Linked DNA regions of Ovis aries. The protein of the gene in region 2 purifies or fractionates together with the protein of the main gene of each other region. This does not show direct contact. Links are inferred from orthologs where the notes say so. Each region holds a gene or a part of one and is shown on either strand. Other genes may lie near its edges.

Evidence for each region. Proteins that work in one complex are often made in the same cells at the same time.
Region 1: the proteins of ATP11A (region 2) and TMEM30A purify together in Homo sapiens (co-immunoprecipitation; 4 studies listed by BioGRID and IntAct, with this or other methods). This does not show direct contact. The link is inferred for Ovis aries from reciprocal best matches to the Homo sapiens genes ATP11A and TMEM30A.

What each region holds. Positions count from the first base shown.
Region 1 is NC_056061.1:2,092,416-2,097,318, reverse strand, and holds the start of TMEM30A (cell cycle control protein 50A), read left to right. Parts: upstream 1-1,732; 5' UTR 1,733-1,733; coding exon 1,734-1,970; intron 1,971-4,903. UniProt on the Homo sapiens protein: Accessory component of a P4-ATPase flippase complex which catalyzes the hydrolysis of ATP coupled to the transport of aminophospholipids from the outer to the inner leaflet of various membranes and ensures the maintenance of asymmetric distribution of phospholipids.
Region 2 is NC_056063.1:85,711,392-85,715,594, reverse strand, and holds part of ATP11A (phospholipid-transporting ATPase IH), read right to left. Parts: intron 3,011-4,203; coding exon 2,759-3,010; intron 1,674-2,758; coding exon 1,499-1,673; intron 664-1,498; coding exon 561-663; intron 312-560; coding exon 166-311; intron 1-165. UniProt on the Homo sapiens protein: Catalytic component of a P4-ATPase flippase complex which catalyzes the hydrolysis of ATP coupled to the transport of aminophospholipids, phosphatidylserines (PS) and phosphatidylethanolamines (PE), from the outer to the inner leaflet of the plasma membrane.

The sequences.
Region 1 (4,903 bases), on a different chromosome or scaffold from region 2:
GTGCACTCAGTAGGAATGTAAATTGGTGCATCCACTGTTGGAAAAAGTATGGACGGTTCTCAAAAAATTAAAAGTATAACTACCATATGACCCAGTAATTCCACTCCTGAGTATTTATCTTTCCCAAATGAAAACAGTAATTTGAAAAGCTATATGCACCCCAATTGCATACCAGCATTTCAGGTGGCGCTAGTGGTAAGAAGGAATCCTCTTGCCGGTGCAGCAGATGTTAAGAGACACCGGTTTGATCCCTGGGTCAGGAAGAGCCTCTGGAGAAGGGCAGGGCAATCCACTCCAGTATTCTTGCCTGGAGAATCCCATGGACAGAGGAGCCTGGTGGCTACAGTCCATAAGACTGCAAAGAACGGGACACAAGAGATTAGCATGCATGGAAGCAAACTAAATGTCCATCAACAGACAAATGGAAAAGAGTTAATTCTCACACACACACACACACACCACGCAACGGAATACTACACAGCTACAGAAATGAATGAAAATTTGTCATCTGCAACAACTTGGACAGACTTGGAAGTTACTACGCTAAGCTAAATAAGTCAGACTGAGAAAGTTTAAATACTGTATAATATCACTTGTATGATCTGAAAAAGTAAAACTAGTGAATATAACAAGGAAGGAGAGAACAAACTAGTTACCAGTGAGGAGAGGGAAAAGAGGAGGGGCGAGGAGGGGCAAGGTGGGGGCAGGGGATTAAAATGTACCAATTATTAGGTGTATTTTACAGCATTGGGAATATCGCCAATGTTTTTTAATAACTATGAATGGGGTGTAACTTTTAAAAGTTGTGATTCATATTGTACAACAACTGTATCTCATTTTTTTAAGACTTAGATCAATATGCAAAAGATAAACGTGGACATAGGATAGATGGTACAGAGTAGCCTGGAGATCATTAATGGTGGAAAAACAAGTCAGAGCAATTATAGGCATGATAACAGGGTAAACCCAGTCACATGATTTATTCCTGAGAACAAAAAGGTCACCAACCATATACATCCCACTTAATATTTATCCTCGCACTCTGAGTGGAGGTTTATTTCTTTAAGTAGACAAAGTCGTGGTTTTGTAACTCAAGCAAATACTGCCAATGCCACGAGGCTCAGGCTCTCTTTGTGTGGCCTTTCCACTGCTGCGCTCCCCTTCACAGAGGACCTCGAAGTAGAGGAAACACCTAGCTGGCTTGAAGCCATCCGCCCCTCGGCTGACGGAAGCAGTGCAGGCGGGGCGGATCCGTCAACCACCTGAAACACCCGTCGCCATGATACCAAAAAGAGCGGGCAGCGGAGTGCGAACAGAAGCTTCCGTGAGCCGAGTGGAAGACGCGCTTATGGCGCAAGCGCCGAGGCCTCTTCGCCCCACCCGCCCCAGGGCCGCGCATGCGCCAACGCAGCTTCACGCTCGGGATAGAAGCCCTCACTTTGTCGTCACAGGGCAGATGATCGGGGTGCGTCCGCCTTTTCCCTCCCCCTTCCATCCTCCTCCCCTTCCCCCTCCCCTTGCCCCTCAGTCTTCTCCCTCCTTTCTCTCTCCCTCCCTCTGGCGTCCCCCGCCAGCTCTCGCTTCCGGTCGGCGGCTGTCTGCGGAAGGGTGTCCCGCCCCTTCCGCCTCTACAGCGGCGGCGGCGGCGGCGCCTGCGCGTCTCCTGTCAGGGTCAGCGGGCGGGTGCCCTGGGCCGTCCACCTGCGCGTTGCGGAGCCGCGCCCGGGGGGTCGATGGCGATGAACTATAACGCGAAGGATGAAGTGGACGGCGGGCCCCCGTGTCCTCCGGGGGGCACCGCTAAGACCCGGAGGCCAGATAACACGGCCTTCAAACAGCAACGGCTGCCGGCTTGGCAGCCCATCCTGACGGCTGGCACGGTGCTGCCCACCTTCTTCATCATCGGCCTCATCTTCATCCCCATTGGCATCGGCATCTTCGTCACCTCCAACAACATCCGCGAGATCGAGGTGAGCGGCGGGGAGGCGGCGGCCGTGCGCGTTGGCGCCGCGGGGGAGCGGTGTCCCTCCTTCCTGGGGTCCAGGGGGTCGGGCGGGCCCTGCCCTTCCCCACCTTCTGTCTTCCTCAGTTTCCTCTTTCTTTTCCTACGGGTTTTTCCGAATTTGCAGTTTTGCCGGCGCTTTCCCTCGCTGTTTATCCAGTCGGGGAATGACTCTGTAATGCAGAGTGTGGGTCAGGGGAAGAACGCCCCTTTGATGGGCGGTTTGTGTGGTTTTGAACCTCTAACGGAGGTTAAAAAAGGAAAAAAAAAAAAAGAAAAGGAGAAGTGGAAAGAAGTTACATGGACATCAAACTCCAGGAGAGTTGACACGGTCAGAGTGTCACTTATCTGTGTGGGGATTATCCCGAGTCACGGAGATCAACACCTTGGCCGTTGTTGGGGAAAGGACCCAGTGTCTTAGAGGCAATGATGGTTTTTATGTAAAGAAGTTGCCATGTGGCACATCACGTATTAGGACCTGTGACCGAAGTGTGTACAGTACTTTTCACGTTGAGCTCACAGATGCTTTTACTTACAGGGGCGTGTTACGGGTAAAAGGTAACTTGACGCTTCAATTCCGGTTTTACTTTTAGGTTACATTGATTAATAATCATGCCCTACATTCGCCCTCGTCCTCCCTCAACCCTCCCCACCCCGCCAGATTTTAAACTGAAAAAAAAAAAAAAAAAAAGTCTGTGACCTCGCAGGGAGAGTAATTTGTGAATTATTTCCTGAACGTGTTACTGTTGTAAGACATGATAGAGAAACTTGGGGAAACATCTTGACTTCCGTCAGAGAAACCATCATCGTAATATAGTATCTTCATACATCTGCAGTGGTGAAGATAGGTTGGTACAGAATGTAAATACTTTGTGTACATATCCAGTATTAAACATCTGCTCATCCTCTTTTCTTGACTATCTGAGGGTATTTTTTATCTGTTTGAAAGGGGAGGAACGGGCACAAAATTCTCTTGATTTTTTTTTGTTCTATCAGTTATGTCATTTTTTTCCCTTTTTAATTATACTAAATACTGTAAAATGTATGCATGCAATTTAATAGGGCTTTCAAAACAACTTTATTTCAACGGCAGGGATAGGCATACTTTCCAATTTAATTAACAGTGTTACCTGTAAAAGCAGAATCATTATATTTTTAATTGTACAACGTGTACATTTCTGTGTTAGTAATACAAGTGTATAGCACAGTTTAAAAATCTTTTACTGAAAGTTCATTTTCAGTTAATAATGAAGTATCACAGTAAATTTTTTCAGTCTAATGTCCTCTTTTATCATTTTTATCTCCTAGTAGACCCTCAAATGTAGTCCTTAGTGTTCTCCCAACTGTATTGTGCTGTGCTGTGCTGTGCTCAGTTGCTCAGTCATGTCCGACTCTTTGAGACCCCCATGGACTGTAGCCCGCCAGACTCCTCTGTTCCTGGAGATTCTCCAAGGCAAGACCACTGGAGTGGGTTGCCATGCCCTCCTCCTGGGGATCTTCCCAACCCAGGGATTGAACCCAGGTGTCCCTCATCGCAGGCGGATTCTTTTACTGTCTGAGTCGCCAGGGACCCCCCCAAACCTTTTTAGGACCACACATACCAGGATGTGAGCGTAGTGGTATAATACAAGGGCTGTGGGCTCTAAGCAGGAGTCAGGCAGAGCTGGGTTTAAATTCCAGCTCAGCTATTAACTGGCTCAGTTTGTTGCAAAACATAATCGCCCTAAATTTCTTCACTTGTAAAATAGGTAAATAATTCCTATTTTTTGTGAACTGTGAGATTTAGAAACAAGATAGATAATATTCCTGGCACTACATTTATACACTAGTTACTGTATTGTGATGTCCGCTAATCAGGAGATGAGAAATGGAGTCAGAGGGGTTGGTATTTGCTAGTAAGCTAGAAAAGCATTGTAAAATAGAGACAGAAACCAAACCTGGATGTCTTGATTTTCAGTCTTAAGCTTTTACACTATACTGGGATCCTTATGTCTATGTTTTTAGTGGATATTAAGATGAAAGCAGCAGTTTGGAATTTATATGATGAGTATTTACTAAATTATCAGAACTCAATTTCTGTCAATATTTACTATGAAGGTAAATGTTAACTTTCTTTAAAACTTTCGGATTCTGAAATAAAGTTCTTCACGCTAGTTGATGAAATGGAAAGTTCTTAAATAATTTTCATGTATGTAATTCTGATTTCAAACTGTCTGAAGAGTCTACTGTAGCTGGATCTCGTTAGAAGGACACTGAAGTTGAGTCAAGGCATTAGAGTCCAGCTTTTACTCCCTAGTTTGTGATCTTAGGCATGTTTTTGAGTCTCAGTTTTCGTTTCGCTTGAAGAGCTGAACGATTCAGACTAGATGATCCCTTAGAGGCCTTGTTCCACTTTAATATTCCGTGACTTCCAACTTTAATGTGATTTTAAGAAAACGCTGCATATTCAAGTTGTATCACCTTTGGAACTAGAGGAGATGAGAATTAAGAGTGATGAGGAATTTTGTACCAATGCTCAGATACAGTTGTGCAAATAAATTTTTTAAAAATTTGATGATTGTGTAGAGAAGTGGTTCTGAATTGAGCCTGGAGTTACTAGAAGAACCTAGGGAACTTCCCCTAAGCACACATACTTGTTTCTGACTGCTCCCCACCCTTTGTCAGTCACTAGTTTAAAGTTGAGGGTTATTAAAAATAAATACGTAAGAAGAAGTTCTTGGCAAGATTCACTTCAATACTACACGTTGCTCACATCTCTTTAGCTTATGTCCTCATTTTTGAAACTTTTAAGACTTTCATTATTGCACTCATCTCATCTGCTAGTAAAGTAATGCTCAAAATTCTCCAAGCCAGGCTTCAGCAATATGTGAACCATGAACTTCCAGATGTTCAAGCTGGTTT
Region 2 (4,203 bases):
GCCAGGCGCCTCCTCCTGGGAATCCTTCCTTCTACTCGGGGACAAGTCACCCCTGCAGCCTCGGGGCATCACGGCTGGCCAGCCTTTCACCCAACCCATCACACACCCAGAGATGGTGAGAGGCGCGGCGGTGGGAGAGCCTAAATGGTGGGAGAGCCTTCCTACCTTATAAAAGAAGTATTGCACAAGCTCGGATATCCTGATATAATAGAAATGCCCGTGAACAAGCAGCATCTTCTTTAAATGCTTAAACTTGGGTATCGCGTAGTCGCTGTTCCTTGCAGCCTGACGACCTTCCTTCCCAATGACGCCTGCAAGAAGGGAGCGCACGCGCTGCATCAGCCCTCCTCTGCCTCTGGCAGGTGGACACGGGATGGGCAAAGCAGGGTTAGACTGAGCCATTGCTGTGGGCTTCCAGCCCGGAACGCTCTGCGTCACAGGTGTGCCTGAAGTGTGTGTCTGAACCCTACGGTCCTGCCTTGTCTGTGTCCCCGATGGTCCAGCTGAGGGACAAACCCTGGCCACTGTGAGAGGCAGGGGGGCAGAGCCCAGGGGCTCACCGATGCCCACGTGGGCCTCCAGGATCATGCTGACGTCATTCGCGCCGTCGCCAATCGCCAAGGTGATCGGGTGCTCTTTCGAAAACTTGATTAACTTAACGATCTGGAAAAGAAGTGAACGCAGACTTTCTTGTCTCTCTTTTATTTTTGCAAAGGTCAACCACTAACTAGGCAGAAAGGACAAAGACGCCAAAGTTAGTCAAGGAAGATGAAACAATTAAGTGCTTAAAGTGAATTATTATATTCAGTACATTTTATCCATACAGGATAAAGTCTTTTTCACGTCAAAAGTGAAACATACTTAAGCAGCTAAGAAACGAATGCAGGAAGATGAGAGGAGAAGGCTGAGGGGGAGGCTGAGGACAGAGCCAAGAAACCCACGGAGCCATTTTCAGGGGCTGCCCCACTCACTCAGATGTGGGGCAGGCAGACTTAAATTCGGGCAGGGGCAGTGTGTGAGCGCTGCACTCCGTTAGAGGATGGTGCTATGCCAAGTTGCCTTGTATCAAGCATCTATTTTTGAAAATAAACTGTTCTTTCAATTTTCAAATTTGTCATGTGTGCAAAACCAAATCTGATAGCTCAATGAAATGAATAATTTCCAAATTCTTAGTCTGTTTCTTTACAGTCTTTTTTTTCCTATTTATGTGCGTAAGTACAATGTTCCATGATGCAAGACAGAAAAGATGAGGGGCTACGGCTTGTCTTCCTGATTCAAGACTGAGACACTGGCTGGTATAAGATTGAGAAGTCACTTAACCCAAAAGGTAACATGTGAAGACAAAACAGCACCCTTTGTTCCATTCCGGACATCACTACACAAGGCTGAAGCCCCGCCCCCGGCACGCCTCCTGCAGCCCCGCCCCCAGCACACCTGGGCCTCCTGCAGCCCCGCCCCCAGCACACCTGGGCCTCCTGCAGCCCCGCCCCCAGCACACCTGGGCCTTCTGCAGCGGGGCCATGCGGCAGCAAAGCACAGCGCTGCAGTTCCGGCAGATGTCCAGGAAGAGCTCGCGGTAGTTGCTGGAGCTCCCGTCCTCCCGAGGCTTCATGATCAAGGACAGCGCGGCTCCGTCGATGATTAAGCCGTAGTCCTGCATGTCGGCCGAAAGTCTGTCAGGCCACAGAAACCAGAGACGTCTCTCAGTAACCAAGTCCAGAGATTTGAGGAGACTAGCTACTCTAGGGGGTACCTATCCATGCTACAAATTCAGGAACAAGGATTAAGAAAGTGGGTTTTCTTCTTTTGTCAATAATAAGACAGTCTAGACTTGGGGCTGCAAGACCTTTGACTACATTTTAAAACTGTATGTGAACTTAATGTTCTCACTTCACTAGGGCAAAGCAAACAACAGCTACAACTCTGGATTCTTGGGCAGGTCGCGGTACAACAGCGGGAGAGCGTCTATCCTGCCATCCGGAAAGATCGACCTTTTCTCCCGACCCCCAGCCACCTCAGCCCCACAGTCCTGATGGCCACAGCTGGGAACTCCTTGCTACTCTGCCTGTCTTGGGAAGAACGCAGTCATGATACTTCTCTTTGCTGGGTTTCAAAATGAAAAGGAACATCTCTAAGCCCCAAAAGGAATTCTGCAGACCAGGTAACGGGAAATAGCTTTGTACTATTTATGAATGAATAATTTTAAATTCGTGTATGATTAGAGAGCCCCATTTGCTTCTGCTAAGTTAATGAAAATTTAAGTTCAAAGAGAGTCTTATCTCAGATCGCACATCGAAGGCCAGCAAGGAGAATGTTGGTAGAATGTGCATGAATTGGTGAGCATTCTTGGGGAAAACAACTCTTGTGGACTGTTTTGTCTTACTTGACAAACGACCATGTGTCATTGTCCCCCCACCCCAACTCTGGCAGAGGCCCCGAGGAATCCACAGCGTGGCCCCCGGGTGGAGCAGAAATAGGTGGGCATCGCCTCACACACGATAGTGTATAAGTCAATGAATCAAGCCTCCGTGTATCCTCTATCAGCAGTCTGCAAGTGAGCATGGGCGCACGCACACACACACCCTCGACGCAAAGACACATCACAGTTGCTGAGAAGACAAGGCTCTGGTCAGGATCCCGACCACGGGACGCTGCCAGGGGCCAGAGGACAGACCTGTGTCCGCACAAGGGAGTGCCGGCCACCGCCCTGCCTGTGGAGGCCGCCCTGCCCCTGCGAACGCCCCGGACACCCGCCTACCCGGAGAAGTTGTCCCGGGTGAGGCTGGCGCTGCAGCGCAGCACTGTCTTGCTCAGCTCGAAGAGCACGTCGTGCAGGCTGTGCTCCTCCAGCCGCTTGGTGGTGACCTCGAGCAGCTGCGTGTTCCTGCGGAAGAGCTTGCAGGCGTAGCAGGTGGCGGCCGCCGTCTCCATCTTGTCGCCTGTGAGCACCCACACCTTGATGCCCGCCTTCTGCAGCGCCTCGATGGTGTCGGCCGCCTTCTCCTGCAGCCTGGGGGCGGGGGGCACGACACACCGTCATCAGCACGGACCCTCGAACCAAGCTGGAGAAGTCCAAGGACTTGGGGTCTGCTGCCCTGTCTGATTTTCACCCCAAAGTTAAAAAGCTCCCTGGTGCTGACCTGTGTGTGATTCACTGTGAAGGACCTGGGGCTATTCCCAGGTGGCTCAGATGGTAAAGAATCTAACTGCAGCACCACAGGCTCAACCCCTGGGTCAGGAAGGTGCCCTGGAGAAGGAAATGGCTACCCACTCAGGGAGTCTTGCCTGGAGAAGCCCACGGACAGAGGAGCCTGGCGGGCTACAGTCCACGGGGTCGCAAAGAATTGGACATGACTGAGCGACTAACACTTTGACTTCCACTTTTTGCATTAGCTTTTTACAACAAAGCGCTTCCTGATCCCAGATAATCCACAGGGCCGAATACTAAGGAGCAACATGGCATTTGCTGAGCACACACTTTTCTGTCTGGCAGGACTTTCTGCTCAGAGAAGATCTGGGGCAATTATAAGGAGGCCCCTCACAAGCACCAACCAGGACAGTCAGAACCAGGGAGAACGGGGCCTGGCGAAGAGGGAACGTGCGCCCCCTTTTCTCTGCGCGTAAGATGTCCTGATTTTGCCTGCTGTCCAACTGGAGCCCAGGGTCCCCTAAAGAACGTGAAGCGGGAGGATGCCGGCTGGGCCCTGGGACTGGCGGACTGGCGTCACAGGCTCCCTCAGTGCCAGGCGCTGCAGGAAGCACTTGCCTGAGACGTCCCGCCTTTGCCGAAACCTCCCGGGAGGAGGAGCGCGTGATGACCCTGTTCTACACGTGGAGAACGCAAAGCCTGCAGAGCTCACACCACATGTATGAGGATGAACGCCCTCTTGGCCTTGGTCAGGCTGTCCTGCCGTCCACGGCAGTCTGACATCGCAGCCATGCCTGCCTCATGGCAGGGCTGGAGGTGGGGACGGCAGGCCTGGCTGCTGACAGGCGTGTCTCAGGGGTATGTCATGCTTCTGTCCAGCGCCGAGAGGAGGAAAGGAAAGGATTCTAACTGGGATGATCTGGGTAGAACCCGGTGGAAACTTCCTACTGTTCTAGACACAGAAAAAACATCTGTGATTTCATCATTGTTTTAGGAAAAAGTAAATAAGGTCCAAAGGGATCTATAAAGGTGCTGGCTAGAGATTTTAAAGAAAT